2 linked regions of the Lepisosteus oculatus genome follow. The protein of the gene in region 1 purifies or fractionates together with the protein of each later gene. This does not show direct contact. Links are inferred from orthologs where the notes say so. Each region holds a gene or a part of one and is shown in the gene's direction. Other genes may lie near its edges.

Evidence for each region.
Region 2: the proteins of ncbp2 (region 1) and phax purify together in Homo sapiens (affinity purification with mass spectrometry; 5 studies listed by BioGRID and IntAct, with this or other methods). This does not show direct contact. The link is inferred for Lepisosteus oculatus from reciprocal best matches to the Homo sapiens genes NCBP2 and PHAX.

The regions. Positions count from the first base shown.
Region 1 is NC_090708.1:2,221,546-2,231,698, forward strand, and holds ncbp2 (nuclear cap-binding protein subunit 2), read left to right. Parts: upstream 1-5,566; 5' UTR 5,567-5,919; coding exon 5,920-5,994; intron 5,995-6,290; coding exon 6,291-6,472; intron 6,473-7,050; coding exon 7,051-7,189; intron 7,190-7,566; coding exon 7,567-7,665; 3' UTR 7,666-7,987; downstream 7,988-10,153. Other genes in the region: meltf (melanotransferrin), read left to right, coding at 359-426, 798-985, 1,217-1,406, 1,767-1,837; protein NCBP2AS2-like, read right to left, coding at 4,938-5,261. UniProt on the Homo sapiens protein: Component of the cap-binding complex (CBC), which binds co-transcriptionally to the 5' cap of pre-mRNAs and is involved in various processes such as pre-mRNA splicing, translation regulation, nonsense-mediated mRNA decay, RNA-mediated gene silencing (RNAi) by microRNAs (miRNAs) and mRNA export.
Region 2 is NC_090698.1:51,420,233-51,430,190, reverse strand, and holds the start of phax (phosphorylated adapter RNA export protein), read left to right. Parts: upstream 1-5,413; 5' UTR 5,414-5,457; coding exon 5,458-5,559; intron 5,560-6,620; coding exon 6,621-7,252; intron 7,253-9,958. Other genes in the region: aldh7a1 (alpha-aminoadipic semialdehyde dehydrogenase), read right to left, coding at 195-275, 858-923, 2,132-2,185, 3,867-4,058. UniProt on the Homo sapiens protein: A phosphoprotein adapter involved in the XPO1-mediated U snRNA export from the nucleus.

The DNA.
Region 1 (10,153 bases):
TCTGGATTGAGACTTCTGATTCAGCCTCTGTATTGGTCATTTGAGGAATGAACTGTCGTGGTGCAAGGTCTCATCCTGTCTTGCAAGGAAGGATGAGTTTTAAATACGTCACAGGAAACCTAAAATGGGTCAGGAGGGTGTGGAAGCGTCTGTGCTGAACCCGAGCGTGGGATTGTTCTGGGACAAGCGTGAGATCGGTGGTGCGCTCTGCTGCTGCCGATGCCGTCTTCGTGCCAGCGAGTGTGAGAGTTCATTCTCACCAGACAGGTTTCATGAAGGCTTTGCCCTCACCAGGGCCCCTGCAGTGATGCTGCCGCCATTATAGACGTCCCAAAGTGCCTCCTTGGTTCTGTTGCAGGTGTTTATCAGAAAGCGCTGGAGAGGTGGCCTTCGTGAAGCACACCACGGTCTTCGACAACACTGACGGTATGTCCCGGAGAATCAGACCACGCATGGACGTGCCTCAAACAAAGCCATCAGTCGTTAGGAATGCCTAAATAATCCTTTCCCAGCATTCCCGTGGGGCCCTGCGTGTCCCAGCCCAAACCATGAGCGCTGACACGTGCCCACGGTTCGCAGCTGCTTCTAGAAAGACACCTGCGTGCAACACTGCTGCACATTGGTACCACAGTGCACAGCGGTCCAGGCAGAGCAGCTCTGTGAAAGTAGGACAACTAGTGAAGTAAATGAAACACAGGCTCTCCAGATCGAGTGCCGTCCACCAGAGTCCCTGGTCTCCATCAAGTCGGCGTGTGGCTCACGGCAAACGCGCCTCCTGTGCCCCTCCTGTCCGGCAGGTCACAACACTGATCTCTGGGCCGTCAACCTGCAGTCGAGGGACTTCCAGCTGCTGTGTCCCAATGGGGCTCGCGCGGAGGTCTCGCAGTACGCGCGCTGTAACCTGGCTCGCGTGCCTGCCCACGCCGTCATGGTGCGCCCCGACACGGACGCCAACGCGGTGTACGGACTCCTCGACAGAGCCCAGGTGAGACATGGCTGCCCGGAGCCCCCCTCCCTCCCGGCCTCGTGAACCAGCTGAGCTTCGTGGCGCCCAGGGCTGGGCGAGCCGCGGTTTTAGTCATCGTGCAGGAAAGGCCCCGTCTCCAGTTCTGCACGCCTGAGTCTGTCCGGAGTGAATCCGCCTCCTGCTGACGGGACTGACCGGCAAGGCTCTGTGCGGATCGTGTTCCGTTAACGATCAGCCTTTCACTTGCAGGCCATCTTTGGGGATGACAACAATCCGAACGGATTCAAGATGTTCGATTCCTCTGCCTTTGGAGGTACGGATCTGATTTTCAAGGATTCCACAGTCCGCCTGATAGGAGTCGGAGAGAAAAGGACCTACACGGACTGGCTGGGCCAGAGCTACATGGACGCCATGAATGTGATGGAATGCAACTCTGCAGGTATGAACGATCCGATGCCCTACTGTGCTGCCAGTGCTTGCCTTGGCCTGCATCTGTACGAAGGCCGAAGTTCTTTCATGAGCTCGATTGATTGAGCAAGAACAGGAGAGGATGATGAGTTGCGTGGTTTCCAGTTGCCCTGTAATTTTTATGTCTTAGCCAGGAATATAATTTCCTTTTTTTAATGCATGAAATTAGAATCATTTTTACAACCGTGATCAAAGCTCTGCAGTTGATGAGAGAGAAGCTTTACTGGAAGGGTAGTAAATTGAGGCTTTTCTCTGGCCGAAGCCCGGCAAATGACCAGGTTGGAAGATGGAGCTGTTCATGTGCTCTAACCCCTCTCTGTTTGTTTGCCAGGAGCGGTCTCCTCAGTGTCCACGGTGCTTGTAGTGGGACTCGGCTTCCTCTTGATCATCTTCAACATATAAACCTACTTTCCTGGGAAGACAGTGACAAAGAAACACCACGTCTCACTGATTCTTGGACAATTTTTAAGAATCGTTATTCAGTGATTCAGATAGCAAATTTGCAGGGATTTTAGGGTCCTATTTTTCAATGTGCCAAATGTTTTTTTTTCTCTCAATTTGTAGCTGGGCTGGACACTCCACCCCCAGTCCAAATCGTCTCGAATGTTTAAATCCAGGGATTCTCGTGCCTCAGGTGTGTTGATCACCCTGAGGGAAGGAGGTGGCAGGTTTTGGGAAAGAGGGTCTGTCCACAATCATTAATCCCCCTCCTACCTCTCCAGTCCTTCCACAGTGCCACAGGAAGCTCCAGGCAGGCAGGTCCCATGCTGGTGCATGTTGCCTGGCTGTGATCCTTAGCATCTGAAGGCAGTTGCCATATCAGTGCATATGCTTTGCCTGTTACATCTGGAGCCTCTTTGTCAAGCTCCTGCAGACTTATATCATATCCTACAGATGTGTAGTCATATTTAAAAACTTTGTCCTTTGTTGTCTAAAGGCAGTTGCCATATCAGTGCATATGCATTGCCTGTTACATAATCTTATCTTCTTGGGGTGCTCTCTGTGTCTTGGAATGTGCTGGGACCTGCACTTTTCTGTCTCGCCTTGATAAACTAACGCCAAGCCAGCAACGAAGCAGCAACGAAGCAACAGGGCCGTGCTGCTTAAATTCACACTTGTTTCTTTCTGCAGACACAGGCAGGAGGGCGACAGCCTGTGCTGTTTTCTGCATGTACCTGCCGTGTCAGTGTGTTCCCCCCAAACCTCAGAAAGAACGCTGTTAAACACACGCTTAATGGCAACAGTGATTTGCTCAGTGCAGAACTAAGATTAAACTAATTTAGACCTGGGTGTCTGGAATGTGGAGTGTAAATTCCTATGAGCAGAGCAGCTGAGGAAGACTTTGCTTATTGTTTTGGGAGGTCACAGACGTGAGGCAGAAAATGTCTCTCTTAGCTTTCAAATGTGATTTACTTAGTTGCCTATTTCTACAAAGCAGAATCACAGCTTCCCAGTGAACTAATACCTGAAGGTCAGATTGATAGGAATTCTGTCTCTCTACCTTCACAGCTATGAGAGCATGACACAGCATCCATTACTCCATACCTACTGCTTGATTGAGACCGCTGGTAACTTTGGGAAGATCATGCCAGTTTAAAAAGTAGTACTTTGCATGTTTCTCTGTCAGGAAATCACTTCAGCTGGCATCACCGTAAAACCCATGTGTTTTAATTTCTGGAATGATCAAAGACATGGAAAGTCCGAGTTCTCTGCTGCACAATGCCTTCATAATAATTCTGAGCTTTTACTGACCAAGTCTGTACTATAATCAGGTGTAGTATTCCCTCTAGGCTGCATTATTGTCCTTTCAGTATGGCATTTCTTTCCAAAATGTTTTCTGCAGAGTTTCTTTGTGTATTATTGAACAAAGATTTATTTTTATAAGGTGCTCAGATACCATATCAGTGTATATGTACTGACTCCCTGTTCTTTGAATATTATTGCTTGCTTCAAAGGTCATATTGATTTCTTCAATGAAATATTGTATTGTAACTAATATTTAGTTGCCAGGCCAGTGCGTCTGCTTAAGTATAGGTACATAAAGCTTTGATTAAAAACCACACTATGATTCATAAATAAACTGAGACCTCATTCACCCGAGTGCAGTCGTGAAATCTTTTCCAGGCGGATGTAACTTTGAACCTAATAACGTGAAAGCTTACCTCAGATAAAACAGAACAGATAAGATAAAACAGGATACAAAGCTGTTTGCACTTCCTAGACAATAATAATGTGCACCAATGTAGCCTTAGAAGCCTGAAGATCACTAAATGATGTTTAGGTGAAATTTAACAATATACTGCAGTCACGAGTGTACAGGAGCTGACAGTGCTTTTCCCTCCTGTTATCAAGGGTTGTGACGGCAAAAACAAATAGAAGCTGCACCAGAAAAATATAATAAGTGATGAAGCCAGCAGAGATTAAGCACAGAGGTTCTACACATTAATAAAGCCAACATTTCTATGAGATGTGTTATAAAGAATAGAGAAGAGTATACATGCATTTACTATAGTAAAAGCTTTGGTTAGGACTGAAGCAACTTATCTACGGAAAGTAATAGTAATACACTTTATTTTATATAGCACCTTCTCAAAGCGCTTTACAGAACTTCGGTTCTGTTTCGGCCTCGGTATTGCCTGTCTGTCTAGGGAGAAGTGGCAGTCTTCCAGCAAACACTACGGTGTCGGGGTCCGAAAACAGGACTCGGGTAGTTTTTTTCCAGACTCCCGGCCATCTTGTGGCGAAGTAGGAGAACTACAATGGGTTTGGATAAAACGGAGCAAGAAAAGTTAGGAACACCGCATTATTTATTCCCCTTTTCAAGTCCCAGACACTGAGTTTGGTGGGCTCTGTGGGTATATATTTAATTTTTAAAAAAATGAAGGTGGTTTATGTACTTTGGCTCGACAAATAACCAACCCCCTTAAAAAAAAAACATATGTCGGATGGAAACTTGTACACTTTCCTCTGCCGACAGTAGCGACCAGTCCATGAAAGTCGTACACAGTTGACTGACAAGAGCTGCAGTCCATAAAAACAAGGCAAATACTTCATGAAAACACTCTTTTCAATTTAATCTTCTCATCTACATTACACACCAGACCCGATACAGTGTTTATCAATGAAAGTTAAAATGAACAATATGCATATCTTACATAACGGGATTGCTTCTTTCGACGTTCTGTGGCATTGTGTTTACAGTTTACGACAAGGTGCGGGTTATTTATTTTTTTTAATTGCGTTGATTTGTAACGTTCACAGACTCGCAAAAATACGTCTCGGATATTTTTCATCCTAGCCGTCAAAACGGGAGTTTGGACCCGTGAGCTGAACAGAAAGTCGTCGTCTTCATTACTTTCCCCGCAGTGTCGCCTCCATAATTCAAATACCGCTTAATTACAGTGTGGAAAACGACACATCTCCCGGTGGTAAAACGACATGGATTTCAGCAGCTACTGAGATAATTACAGGTCAATTCAGAAGTCCACGGTTCCGCAAGCCCTCACTGTTTGTCCTTGTTTTTGAGCTGTCGGGAGGCGTCCCTCACGCCTTCCTTGACCTCTCTGACGAACATCTGCCCCAGTCTCCCGACTCTCCTTCCCAGTTCGCCCACGTCCCTCGGCATCCTCCCGGCCGTCTCCTCTCGCACCTGGCGGACGGTGTCCGACTTGAGCAGCCTGGACGCCGCGTCCCTGCCGCTGATCTGCGCCTTGGTGATGGCGTAGGCCGTGATCTGCGCCGCCCGGCGGATAGGGCGAGACTCGGAGAGCTTCTCGATCACTTGCGCGTTGTTCAACAGGGTGAACAGCAGGCGCCTCAAAACCATCTTCAAGCCAGGGATCCGGGGACCTGCAGACGACGAGAGCCAACGGAAAAGACGGTTAATAAATTTGTTGCGCGGCGTTATACTCACAAATAAATTGAAAGCAGTTTCAATGTTCCTACCAGAAAGATCTGCCGGCTGAAAAGCTCTGATTTCCGGTCTTGCACCGCAACCGTCCCCCTGTTGAAGCTGCTAATAAGGTATCGGATTCTACTGAGTAATGCTTTATGTGATTAACGAAAACAACTGAAAATGAAATAAACTTGAAGAAGGGACGTCCTTTATTATTATTCAATGATTGCATTTATTAGTGCGATCGAAATCTAAACACTTAAAAGCAGCATTTAAATAGCTGCTGGTAACCCTCGTGAAAGCCTACAGTAACTCTGTGTTCTCACAATCGTACATTTTGTCTTCTCTCTTATTGTGGTTATATTAATATAAAAACAAATAAACAGTAAAACAATATAAGAAAATTGAGAGCTGTATGGTCACCGATACGGGCCGCCCTTGTTTCCGCACGGTCGCCCTTACTGTACGGACCGGAAGCTTTATTTGATTGGCTCTCCCGCACCGGAAGGCGGCGTTCTGGGAGTCTTGCTGTTTGTGTGGGTGCCCTGTTGGTTTGTTTCTGTGTGGATTTTGTTACAGTTCTTTTACGATGTCTATTCAATTAAACGCACTCCTCAGCGACTCTTACGTCGATATAAGCCAGTACAGAGACCAACATTTCAAGGTAAGGTGAAAAAACTTTAGTATTACTCTTAACGTTGTGCGTTTTTGTTAGGAAAACAGGATTTAACACGCCGAAGCAGGAACACAGATGCAAGGCGTAAACAGGTTCTGGTAATTAGGTGTATTAAAAGTTAGTTTGATTTGCACCTCAGTCGTGTTCAGAGTTGTGTTTCGGACGCTACCCGGCCGTGGTATCGAGCAGAGATGAAAGTACCGTTCGTTAGGTAAGTTTAAGAAAGGTTGCGGTAGCGAGATGGAGGGAACGACAAACAGTGTGAAGTGGAACTTTGTCTCCAGGGTAATCGCCACGAACAGGAACGGCTCCTGCGGGCGAGCAACACCCTCTACGTGGGAAACCTGTCCTTTTACACGACGGAGGAGCAGGTGTATGAGCTGTTCTCGAAGAGCGGCGACGTGAAGAGAATCATCATGGGTCTGGACAAGGTGAAGAAGACCGCTTGTGGCTTCTGCTTCGTCGAGTATCCTTTTGCACAGAACAGTCGCGATTGCTGACCTGTCTTTCGGCTTTTTGGATATTGGTAATTCTGGAGTTGTAACTCCTTTTTAATGCAGCTATCCGGTGCATGTATATTTATTGTACAGAATTGATATACTAGATGGAATATTTATTTAAATGTTCTGACTGTATATTTATAGAGTAGTGACGCGTCTTAAACGTTTTACATTTTTAATGTTTTATACAATCTGACGTGCAACACAGAGACTTCTTACTTGAGAGCAATATCCCAGGAGTTAAATGGCACGGTGGAGTCTTCTGTAGTGTTACTGTTATCTGCACCCTTTGCGCCTTCACGGCATGCTGTTGTAATTCACTGTGGGTAAAGGCGTCTGCCAGGCGAAGAAATGTAATGTAATGTTTTCAGTGTCACGGAGAAGGGAGGATCGAGAGGGGGGTGCAGGAGGTTCACCTCGCTGTGCCTGGGCCGCCGTAGCAAGGAAATCCAAGGCCTGTCTCCCTCCCTCTTCCCGAGATAGGCAATTTGTCACATTTTGTACGTTTTCGTTTGCTGCAACGCCTTGACCCCCCCAATGCAAGGTACTACACCCGTGGGGACGCGGAGAACGCCATGCGGTACATCAACGGCACCAGGCTGGACGACCGGATCATCAGAACGGACTGGGACGCGGGCTTTAAAGAAGGCAGGCAGTATGGCCGTGGGAAGTCAGGTGGCCAGGTGCGCTTGCTTGCTTGCCCAACGTTGTATTTGTCATTAGAAACAGCAACGACAACAAAAACCATTAGAAAAGTTAGAAATGAGCAAATCTGTTATTCTGTGTTTCTTAAAGTTTTTACAGTGTTTTTTTATGTTAATGCACGTTCAAGCTGTTTGGCTTCAAGTCTGTTCAGTGCGTTGCAACTGCTGGATCTCAGCCACGGCTCGGTTCACCAGGGGCTCGCGCAGTGTGATGGGAGGCCAGTGCTGTCTGTGAAGAAGCACATTTCTTTTCTCCGACGGAGATAAATACAGACAGGGTTATGATCCAGCCGGGGGTGGGCTATGGAAAAGCAGTTAAAAAATTGTAATAAGGTATTTTTTTCTTTTTCTTTCAGGTCAGAGATGAATACAGGCAAGATTATGACCCTGCTCGAGGTGGATATGGAAAATTGGCTCAGCTCCAAAGAACACCAGACGCCCCGCACAAATTCTAGTTTTCTGTAGAGAATTTACAATTGGGTGGTATTTGAGTACATTTAGGTAATGAAAGATAAAGTTGATCTTTTATCACCTTTTTATTAAATGTTTTACCAAATTAAGATAACTTGACTGAAGTACATCATGCTTTTCGTACATTTTGAAAATCACAAATAAGCAGGAGAAGCTGGTTAAGGCATCTGCCATTTTGGCCAGTTTTGCCTTAAGGCTTATTTTTCCAATCCAGTTTCATTTGTAACTATGAGCGTTTCTGTTGGATCTGTATACTATGTATAACATTTATGGAAACATTAAATATTTTCAATTTTGTGTTTAAAATCTTTTTTTAACATTGGTATTGGTATTCAGTAACAATGTGTGCACCATTTGCTCTACTGTTTAAAATGAAATGCAAAAATTAGATGAAAGGAGCATGTTTAGAAGTATTTTATATTTGCTTTCCCTTGGTGTAAAAAAGGCATCACACATTTCTTGGAAAGGAAAACTTTGTTAATGGAAAATTTTGGAATTAATGATATTAGTTCATTCAGATTCTAATTTTACCCTACACACATTCCTTGACCGCTAAACAATCAAAAATCTGATAAATGTAAGTTAAAAGTCCTGGATGTACTTTCTCATTTAAAGGACAAGCATTTTTAAAATTGCTCTAGTTTTTTCCTCAGCTTAAGTGCTTTCCTAAAAGTATTAAAAGTACTGCTCATGTATGTCATGGTCTTTAGGTAAAACCTGATGTTACTTTCAGAACATTAACATGTCATTATACCCTGAAATTTAGGGACCTGAAGACCATTATTTTGTCAGTGGGTTTTGCTTTTGATTGTCATTTGTATTTCTGCAATTTTTTTTCCATTTTCTCCATGTCTCGGAATGTTCTCTGAGCTTTCCTCCACCCTCCAACGACATGTTGACTAGTTGAATTGCAGATTGCAGATTTCTGGATTGTCTTGTGTGCCAGACCGGTGTCTCAGTGATGGACACTTTGTCTCTCTCTTGGGGGTTTCAGTCCTGTAGTTTGGTCTTCAAGTCTGGTGTTCCTCCAGCTTGATACTGCCCCCCCCTCTAGTCAGCATTTAAATATTTCCAATTGTGCAGATATTATTAATATTGATATTAATATTCAGAGTGCATTCAAGTCAAGCTTCTTCAGCAAGGCTTTAATTTAAGTGGCATCTGGCTGCATTTGCTCATTGCATCTACTGTTTCTAGTCCCTTATGGTCATTTTTTCTTCTTAGATCTTTAATTTATTTTTCCCTTTTCGTAAAAGGCACTTTGAGGAGCTACTTTTAAAGGCCCGATATACATTTATGACATTGTCCTATCCAGGATGTAGTCCCACCTTGACCCTTTTTTCTAGGTGGATGGGGGGAAAGTTATGCCTTGATACCAAGTTCATCTACAGTGCCTCCTATGTCTAATCCAGTTTTTAGCATTCTTTAGTTAGTGCAATACAAAAGTATCCTCTTATACTAATAACCTGAGTTGCTAAGGTTTCTTCATACTGTATATCATGTCCTTCAAGTGCTGGCAGCAGCTTACGGAGCGGCCATTGAACAGATTTGACTCAACACGTTTTTGAAAGGGCTTTCGGTTTGAATACACTGTACTGGTGCAAAAAGAACACACGAAAACTCAGATCTAGAACTGGATTTAATTGACTATTTAAAACAAATGCCAAACAAAAAAAAAATCACAGAAAATGTGAACAGAAATACAAAGCGGTAGTTTTCAATATGAAACATGACAGTTTTAAACGAAAGCAGTATAAAGGTGGTATGACCTTCCTGAGCAGCAGCACTGTCGTATGGACCCCTCCAGCCTCCCACCAGACTGCTGTGGGATGTTGCACATTGTCCTCTGCAGCTGTAGCCAGCTGGCTCCTTGTCACAGCACTGGCAAGCCGCTCCCACAGAGACACTAACGAGAGCCTGAAATCGGCATATAAATCTGGCCGTGGCAAGACAACATTGTTTTCTTGGAGTCCTTGCACTGTGTGGGCTTGCATCGTCATGCTGGAAGACCAACGCTTCCAGACTGGCTTCCCTGGTAAAGAAAAACTGAGGGCTGAAAAGAATCCAGCAGAGGATGACTGAGCAATGAGGTCATCAGTCTGCACAAGACGCACACTTGTGTTACTCAATCCCACCTCATCACACTTGCAGGGCCCCCTGCTGGAGACAACAAACGCGGCAATAACGAACGTATGATTGCCACCAAATTCCAGGCATGCCTATGGAAAGCCTTTTGCTGCCACAGTAAAATAAAGGTTGACTTGACCAGACAGATGCAACATGCCAGATGTTGGGCCAGAATCTCTCCTAGTCCTCACAGAGATGGTTTCTCATTTTCACCTAATTGTTGAAGCAGAACCTCATTCTCCACGTAACATTTAGCAGGAAGTCTGCCTTCAATCATGATAATAGGAACCAAGCAATCTAGAATTTCCAAGCTGCTCAAGTTGACATGGTCATCTAATTTACTGT
Region 2 (9,958 bases), on another chromosome or scaffold:
ACGTTAAACAGGAATAGAATGTAAACAGACCTTTTCATCCAGAACAATGTGATGTTAAGAGCAAAATATTGCTTTTCCTATCTCTGTATGTTTTAAACACACCAGGACAGGAAAGAACTGTCTTGAGGAAAAGCTAACCCTTATTTTTGAATATGTCAGAATAAAGTTAGTAGATGCTTCTCAAAAGTTCTTACCAAGCTACCCAGAATTTTAATCTTCTTCCTTAAAGCATCTCCTATTTGTCTTACAATTTCTCCCCGTTTAGGAGCTGGAATCTATGTAAAAAAGGAAATGACTTTCAGTTATCACATTTAAACAGTATGAATATATGTTTACAAACCTTGTAAAGAACCAACACCAAGACACACTATTTAAAAATAATTTCAAAAAATTTAACTTTCAGCACTACATTTTAGTTTTGTTTAAGTCAGACTAATGTTTTTTTGAAGGATCATACTTGACAATAACAATATAGATATTTCCTTTAAAAAAATAATGAAAATGGGAAAAAAAGGATTGTTCATACATCAGCTAGCATTTAGAATTACTAGTTTGAAGGTGTACTAAATACATGCTGTAGCTCTCTTCTGTTTTTGCTTTTCTTCAAGAGGAGAGAGGTAATCTCATGCTGCTGAATTTGTTGTGGTGATGAATAGATAATAAACAAGCAAAGACCTGTGATGGCAATTTGAAAATTTCACAACTAATTACTTGTATTAATCCACCATACACATCCTATTATTTTGAACGCATCACATGTGTTTGTGGATTCTTTTCTACACTGAGTGTTTCTGACAGTAACACGACAAGTGTGTCTTTCTGGTTTATCCTTAGAATGCTTTACTGACAGTACTTACATCTGCCCACACTTTCCAGGCTTCTTTTGCCTTGTTCACGGTCTCTTCATACTCTGCCATCGTGGCCTTGAAATTAAGCACAAAAAAGAATCCTAAGTACCATCACAATGTTCACAGCCAAGTGAGTTTCACTCAAAGTAGCATGCTCAGAATTATTTACCTCCAAAGCGCCCTTTATTCTCAAACACAAAAAAACTTTCCAAACTATTCACTCAAACTCTGGAAAAGTTCTGTTCCAATTGTTGTTGAATGTACCAGGTACATCTGGGATATGTGAAATATTTTCCCATGCTTGTGTTTTACTTACTTTTTGTATGAATTGTTAAGTAAACCCTTTTTTGAATTATCCATCCCTTTTTTTAGGCAAACTAAATGGAAAGTTGAGTAACATTCACAAAATATTTTTAAATGAGATAAGCCTCCATATATTAAACAATGACCCTAAAAAGATTTTACGTAGAAACTGAAATGTTGAGAGGATAAGAGGAAGATTGCACAATTTTTAAACTGTTGCAATGGAGCTCATCTGTGACAAGACAGTAACAGTTAATTTTTAACTGCATTCACTAATGATGACAGACCGCAAGACAGAATAAAAAGGACATTTATTACATGAACAGAAATTAATCTAGGAATGAGGTGTAGGCAGAAATTTGCAAATTCAGTTCAATAACATAAATAAATGTTTAAAGCCCTTTGAGGGATTTCTGAGAAAAGTACTTTTCCAAATAGTCACAGAATGTAATAGAGGAAGTAGAATGTGGTGCTATGCCTACATTGCTGTGAAGGAAAGGTACAAACATTGCTTGGGAAAGTTACTTTAAAAAGTAATCCATTACAGTGACAAACTAAATAAAGAATTACTTTAAAAATTAACAAGACATTTAGTAAAAATAATTAATATTCAGTAGCATCTGTGAACATTAAGCTCAATAAGGTGTTTTGCCATCTGTGAATCTCCAAAAATACAGTTTCTTTGCTCAAGAGTTTATGTCAAAATGCTGTTATATATTTTTTTGTTTTCATCCTTTAATAAATAAGAAATGTATTATAACTAAATCTATCTGTCAGTTTGGCATTATAGTAAGCAAGGTCATCCAGAGGACAAAGGTTTATGCAATAAGTCGACTTCAAATGCTATCAGACTGGTAAGTAATATATATCTGTCCCTAAAGTAAATGGCCTTGGATATATATTTATGCACAGAACACAGCTTTCAACCATGACATCCACCAGGATAGATATAAGCATTAAGAGAATGAGGCTGAAATTACCTGTCGGACTCTTGCAATGGGTTCATTGTTGGCAGGGCAATAAGAAGTGATGACCTAGAAAGACAATATTAATTATATCCTACATCTTTAAAGCATACTATTTTCAGTGCATCTTTAACAAATAGCACATAATATAGTTAATCTAGAAGAACTAATCACATGTAAGCTTAACACCACAAGTAAACCTCTAAACTGGATGTTTTTAGACAATGACGGGTTATGGCGGGTTATGGCTAACATAAATGGAGATTTCCCTCAGGTGTTCATTAATAATAATAATAATAATAATTGCTTACACTTATATAGCGCTTGAGCTCCACTAATGGTGGCTCCCCAGAACGCTCACCGCACACCGCACACCAGCTATCAGTGGGGAGGAGAGCAGAATGAAGCCAATTCATAGACGGGGATTATTAAGAGGCCAGGACACCGGGACACCTACTCTTTTCATAAAACAGCCTGGGATTTTTAATGACCACAGAGAGCCAGGACCTCGGTTTTACATCTCATCCGAAGGACGGCACCTGTTTACAGTATAGTGTCCCCATCACTATACTGGGGCATTAGGACCCACGTGGACCGCAGGGTGAGCGCCCCCTGCTGGCCCCACTAACACCTCTTCCAGCAGCAACCTTAGTTTTTCCTAGGAGGGCTCCCGTCCAGGTACTGGCCAGGCTCACACCTGCTTAACCTCAGTGGGGTGCCAGTTGTGAGTTGCAGAGTGATATGGCTGCTGGCTAGTGATATGGCTGATAGGTTAAGACAACCTGTCAACATGCCTCTGGCTGAGCAAAGTCAAACTTCTGTTATGCAGCTTTAGCACAGAACAGAGAGAATTGTTATAGCTATTAAACGCACTTAAATCCCCACAGTCATATGGAATTCTACCGATTCTACTTTAGGACACAAGAAATGTTATTCATAGCCCATTAACAAGAAGGGAATAAAAAGGGCATCAGAACCAAACCAAGTAAGCCAATAAGTCTTATTTCTTTTATATAAATTCCAATTGATATGCAAGACAATGCATGTTTTGTGGGATTCAGAACTGGTAAATGGATAGGGAGTAGTACAAATAAGAATTAATAAATCCTCCGATTCGGAAGATATAATTAGCCAAGTGCTGCAGATACTGTATTTGTACTAGCACCACTGCTCTTTCTAATTTATATCAATGATCTCGATCTTGGTATAGTTAGCACGCAAATCAAACTCACATATAATAGAAAAAGAAGAATAAGCAAATACTGTGGTACATTTAAGGGAAATTTTAAAATAAGTTAATAAAACTGGGAAACACCTGGCAGAATTTGTTTTTATATAAACATTTTCAAAATGTTACACGAAAAAAGAAATAAACATACACCGCACGAGATAGTATTAGTTTGAAGAAACTATTACAAAGGCCTAGGTTTATGTTGACATTTTATATCGAAGAAACAAAAAAGCAGCAGAACTTTATGATACGTAGCTCAATGCAGGTAATTTTAAGTGGAGGGATGCTATGTTAAAATTTTACAATGCATTTTTAAGATCTCATTTAGGATATTAATACATTAAACGGTTTTTCTGTATCTTAGCATCGAGTGGATTAAATTTTAAATAAATAACAGTAGAAACGTTTAAGTGAATGGGACAGTCTCGATTTGCAGCCATCTTCATAAGTATTTTTAGCAAAGCATTGCTATTGGCTGCCCTTGCTACCTAATGCCACTTAAATCTCTTCGCGTCTTACCTCTCCCTTCCCTCCCCACGCTCCATTGTAAACTCCGGCATTTTCCTCCTTTAGGCCTAGTTCTTTGAGCCAGGAGTATTTCGGCTGGTTGATCAGGAGTGTGGACATGGTTGCCGTTTGTCGGAAACCGCGGAAAAGGACTTTTCTCCTGAGGGACAAGTGCTTTACAGCAGTTAGAGCAATAAGCTGCATGGCTGTAACAGAGCACCGACGCCAAGTTCAGCGCAGACAGTGCTGTGCAGCCCAGCCCCCCGAAGCGGAGGCGATGATTGGTGAGATACAGGCTCTACCCATCTGTCGCCAGCAGCGCTGGCTTTGCAGCCCTTCTGCGTCCTTTACGTGCAGGAGCTTACGCAACACGCAAGTCAGTTTTCTCTGAGCACGTAAAATGTTGGGTGACACGTTTCTGTGAAATCACCAGGCTGTGAGCTGAAGTCATGATCATATATTTCTGTTTTTTTTTTGTTCGGATAACACAAAACACTTTTACCCCCGCAGCAATAGGATGTCATTATTGCTCGTTACGGTTAGAAGTTAAAGAAATGTGCTAACGTTTTGATCCTTGACTCGATAGTGCCCCCAGAAGGCCAGAGCAGCACTGATAAATCCGATTGACGACAGCTTTTTAGCGAGCAGCAGAGTGGCGCAGCGGAAGCGTGCTGGGCCCATAACCCAGAGGTCGATGGATCGAAACCATCCTCTGCTAGCTTGTGTTTTTTTAAATAATTGTTATGTTTTTTTTCCACATCAAAATAGATGAATTGATCCAATATATGCAATCTGTATGTTTTTTTTCTATACATTTAACCTTTGATAACTAGACGGTCAATGCAATTTTGCAACCAAGCGAATACATTGTCCGAATTTATTTTGCAGTTTTTAACATTTCGTCTACACTTAACGTCGTCGGGTGCGTGCGTGTGGGGTGTTAAAATAAGTAACAAAGTGTAAAATGCAAAGTTACAATCCACCATCACCCAAGTAAAACATTAACTAGAATCTGACTTTTATTATTCAGTTGAAGGTGTTATAGGTGGCATAAAATCAAAAAGTGTAAGCAACTGAGTGGACACTGCAAACATAAGATGGAGACACTGAGCTTGAAAATACTACTTAGGAAGAATATTTATGTTTATGTTGGCTTGTCTATGACCTCAGTCTAGATAATGTTGGGAACGTACAGTTAAAGACTACAGAAATTAAATAAGAGCAAGTAATGTTAAAACTGTACTAGTGCTAATAAAACCCCGTTTAAAATAATGTTCTGGGTTATCACGTAACAAAAAATATATTATTGGACTGGATTCGGCCCCAAACCAAATTCAGGTGAATGTCTTAAACTGATTAATTAAAGCAAACAGATCCCTTTCGCGACAAAAGCAGATTATGTGGTGATGTGAATCAGAAGGAGTGTTTTCACATTTGCGTCTCCTCCCCGCGATCTGGACGGGCTTTGCTAACGTGAGCGGTTTGTCTTGTAGAACAGCAGGAGGCGCCGTGACATCGACCGGCCTCCTGTTCCGGAGGCCGAGTGACACAGGAAGGTGTTCCTGCGGCCCGAGGGAGCTGTTTTATTGCCGGGTTAGTGGAAATGGCGGTGAGTGCGGATAGGATGGAAGATCTCGAAGATGGTGAGCTCTGTAGTTCTAACTCTGATTCGGAAATGGGAGTTGCTGCGGATGAACAAATGCAGGTAAGTTTTGTTGAAATATGTTTAAGAGTGAAATATACCGCGTTTTGGTTCTCAGAGAAGGTAATTTCGGTTTTACCTTATTTGACGGTTAGATATACCTTGGTTGCTTTGCTGTTAAGGAGGTAGCAACGTTTTCGTTTTAATTTATACGTGAAAGGAACTCAGCTGTGTACATTTTTTTATTACGAGATTTAAAGGCTAAAATCGGTAAACTCGTGAGGATATTTAAGTTGAAGTTATTACATGCATGTTTAGTGATTGTTTTGGATTCCAGTTTTAAATTTGAAGTTACAGCAAAATCAATCCAGAGTGTCATTCGCTTTACCAAGAAGTCACGTAATTCTGTAGTTTACGGCTGCAAATGTGATTTATTTTTATTTAAAACTCTCCTATTCAGGTATTGACGCAGGTTTGCTTAGCGTCTGCGGTCTGTATCTGGAAGATATCTGGCTAGTGGTGTAGAGCAAATGAACTGTAATGGGTCTGAAGAAGATTAAATAATATGATCAGCCATCCACAATTGTTGGCGCAGATGCCGACAAGATGATAACTGTTTGGAAAAACAGTTATACACTGCTAAAATGTCTGGACTGCACTCGAGTGTGATTATTAAGAAGGCAGACAGGCCTGTTACAATGCGAAAAGTTTATTTCACATGGCAGCAAACGCACACGGTACGTCGCTATACATCTGTAACTCATGCTGATTCTTCTTGGGTGTGATTCTCTAAAAACATAACCTTTTACTACCAGTGTATATCAAGGTTGTATAGCAACTGTAAGTTTCCAGTGATGGGGGGGGGGACAAGTTTTTTTGGATGATTTATATTTTGTGCCTGTTTCATAAATACTTTCTACTTATTGATTTTGTTTTTCTGTTTGATATACTTTTAAGTCTTAGGTTTATTGGTGACATTTTTACATCTTCCCCTAATGCTGAACACTGCATGTAGTACTTTTGTCCTGTATAATGAAGTTCCAAGCAAAGTTGTGTTTAGAGTAAAGAAAGTACTACATAACCCCAATGTGTCCCGTGCATTATTTCTGACCTTCTTTCTGCAGAAACTGCAGCCCCCAGCCTTGAACAGCCAGGCTTTCCAGAGCAGATCGGAGCCGCGCCAGGCCCCCACCTCTGTCACGAGTTACCGCAGCACGGCAGGGCTAGACTCCAGCGACAACAGCGAGTCGGATTCCGATGAAGACCGGGCCATCTGGAAGAGGAAACGCCAGAAATGTGCCCATCCGCCTCCTGTGAAGCTGCCTGTGCCGGGCCCCCTCGCCCCCCAGAAGCCTCCGAGCTGCAAGGTGAACAACATCTGGGGCGCCGTCGTGCAGGAGCAGAGCCAGGAGGTGGTGGCGGCGGAGTTGGGTATATTGGGCATGGAGGGTGGCATCAGCATGAGCAGTCGGCAGTCGGAGACGTACAACTTCCTGCTGGCCCGCAAAATGATGGAAAGGGAGCGACAGCAGCAGGAGTCGGAGGAGGCTGCCAAGCTGGACGAGGAGCTGGAGGATTACATGCAGCACGACAAGAAGGAGCACAAGGCTGAGGAGGGGAACGGGGGCGCCCACCTCAAGAGGAAACGTCCAGTTAAGGAGAGGCTGGGCGAGAAGGAGGAGATGGACTACAAGGGTCGATTCGAACTCACCGAGGACGACCCCGAGGACAGAGTGGCAGAGGAAATCGCCCACAGGTCAGGTGCCCCTTTGAGCTTCTGTGTTGCTCTGGTGTTTTAAGAGTTCCTTTAGTTAAAACCTGAATTGTAGCCCTTAGTTTTTTATTTAAACTTTTTAATAATAATAATAATAATTGCTTACACTTATATAGCACTTTTCTGGACACCACTCAAAGCGCTTTACAAGTAATGGGGACTCCCCTCCACCACCACCACCAATGTGCAGCCCCACCTGGATGATGCGACGGCAGCCATAGTGCGCCAGAGTGCTCACCACACACCAGCTATCAGTGGGGAGGAGAGCAGGGTAATGAAGCCAATTCATAGATGGGGATTATTAGGAGGCCATGATTGGTAAGGCCAATGGGAAATTTGGCCAGGACGCCGGGGTTACACCCCTCAAAGCTTAGGCTCAAAGCTTTGAAAAACAAGATGTATTCTGGTAACATTTTAATGTTGCTCTTCAGAGTTGGCGAAGTTCAGTTACTGCTTCCAGGTTTGAGTTGGGAAATCGTACTCTTTGATTCACTGACGGGCTCCTTCACGTGTAACACTAGGGGCTGGGCTATGCTGATATGCTTGTTTTTATTCATAAGTACCTCATGATGTATCTCTGTTTCACTTTTGCTGTGTGTTGCAGCGAGAGCAGGACTGAGGAATGAGTTTGAATAGTGCGGGAGCCCTCAGTGCCTGCCCTCAAGGGACACAGGCTTGTCTGGTCCTCTTTCCCTATGAACTCACTAAGCACACAATTCTATGAGAAATGTATACAGTATACTATCTACTGTTGTATATAGGCTCTTTTTTAATGTAAATGAAACTTTTTCCTGGGCTTTTTTTAATCAGAAAGCCCTTTATTTCGTTTGTTGTAAACATACGGTATAAAATTTGCTGAAGCATATGAAACACAAACACACATCATAATCAATTGGCCTGTTCCTGTAAGGCACCTTTGATATTCCTGAACCCTTTGCAGTAGTAATAATTGTATTTATTTTGAATTGTTTTATTTATTTTTTTTACATTTTTATAACATTTTGGTGTCTTTTTAAATGATTTTTAAATCATTTTAATGATTTTTTTTAGTTCGCTAAAGTAAACAACATGCAAACAACACGCATTGAAAGCAATTCAGTATTGTAGGGAAAGTCAAATATTTCTGATTTTATAGTCAAAATTCCCCTTTAGCAGATTTATTTTGTTAAATTTGAAACAATTGTGTTATTACTGTAATTATTCACTGTCTTAAGTCAATTTAAATAAATTCATTTTTAAGTAGACAATATATAAATGGCAAAGAGACAAAATGAGGACCCCTGAAATAATAAATTAGTGGATTTGTTTATGACTCAAGAACTTCTGAAATCTGCTTGGGACAGTGCCTTTCTAAGTTTATTGAAATTTATTTTCTGATGTTCTCCCAGAGATAATTTCTCTTTAATGTTAGAACAGTGGCAATAGGATCCAATCCGGCATCTGCTCTTAACGTGCAATTAATTAAACACGTATATGTGTTTTCTTGACTGTATCACTGTTGTATGACACTGGGTTGTGAATCAAAACAAGTTTAACATGATCTGATTTGATGTGCCCCAAAAAATTTCATTGACAAATGAGAAGTTGGCAGTTTGGGCTTCCAGTATCAGACTGTGATCTCTCCCAGGTATTGTAGTTTAGGGTTTGGGGCTTGTCTTCTTCTAAGCTATTGGTGTCTCCTGTCATGCCTTCTTGAGCAGGGACTAGTCCCTTGTACTCAGTTTTCTTATTTCATAAATAGTTGCACTTGGACCTTGACAGATGACAATGTACATTGAAAAAAGGTTGGAAAAGTAAAGGTTACTAATCTATAAAACACAAAATGGTGGAGCTGGCAAAACAAACACTAATATTTTACAACCATAAAGTCTTCTATTTGACAGGTAATCCTAGTATATAATACAAAAGCAAACTACAGTCAAAACTTTGCTCTTAGAAGTCATAGGATATACTCAGAATCAGATTCTTCACTGCTTTTTTTATTGGGGGAAAAAAAATCTCAGTAACATAAAAGTGGTGACTAAGATTTGAATTTGAAATAGGGGGGAAAATGGGAACACCTGGCTGACGCAGATGATGGTTAATGTAGACAAGTGCAGGAATTTTCATGCAGATAGCAAAACATGAGCTACAAATACAAAATAGGAAACACTGAGCTAATGGAGGCTACATATAGAACAAAACAGGCGTTTATGATGGCAAATCATTAACATTGTCTAGACAATTTTGAGAAACAATGAAAAGGTTGAGAATTTTAGGATATATAGTTAAAAGCATTAAATTAAAATCAAGGAAGTTTCTTGAAATTGTATAATGCACTATTTCATTTAAACTGCATTTAGAATATTTTGTACAATTTTGGTCACCATTTTATTGATAAGATATTGCTATTCTAGAAACTATCCAGTGAATACCAACCAGAAACATTCTGGGGCTTAAGAGAATGTCCTACACTGACAGGGTGAAGGAACTGGACCTTTATAATCTTGAACAAAGTGTTCAAGGGGACCTGATACAAGTAATCAATGTCCTCAAAGATGGTGATAGTCAACCCAAAGGATTTCTTCAGAACGGAGTGTGAAACATGAACCAGAGGACACAGTGGAAACTACGTGGAAGCACATTTTAAAGCAAGCACAGGAGGCACGTCTTTACCCAGAGAGTTGAGTGATATGCAGTGGAACAGCT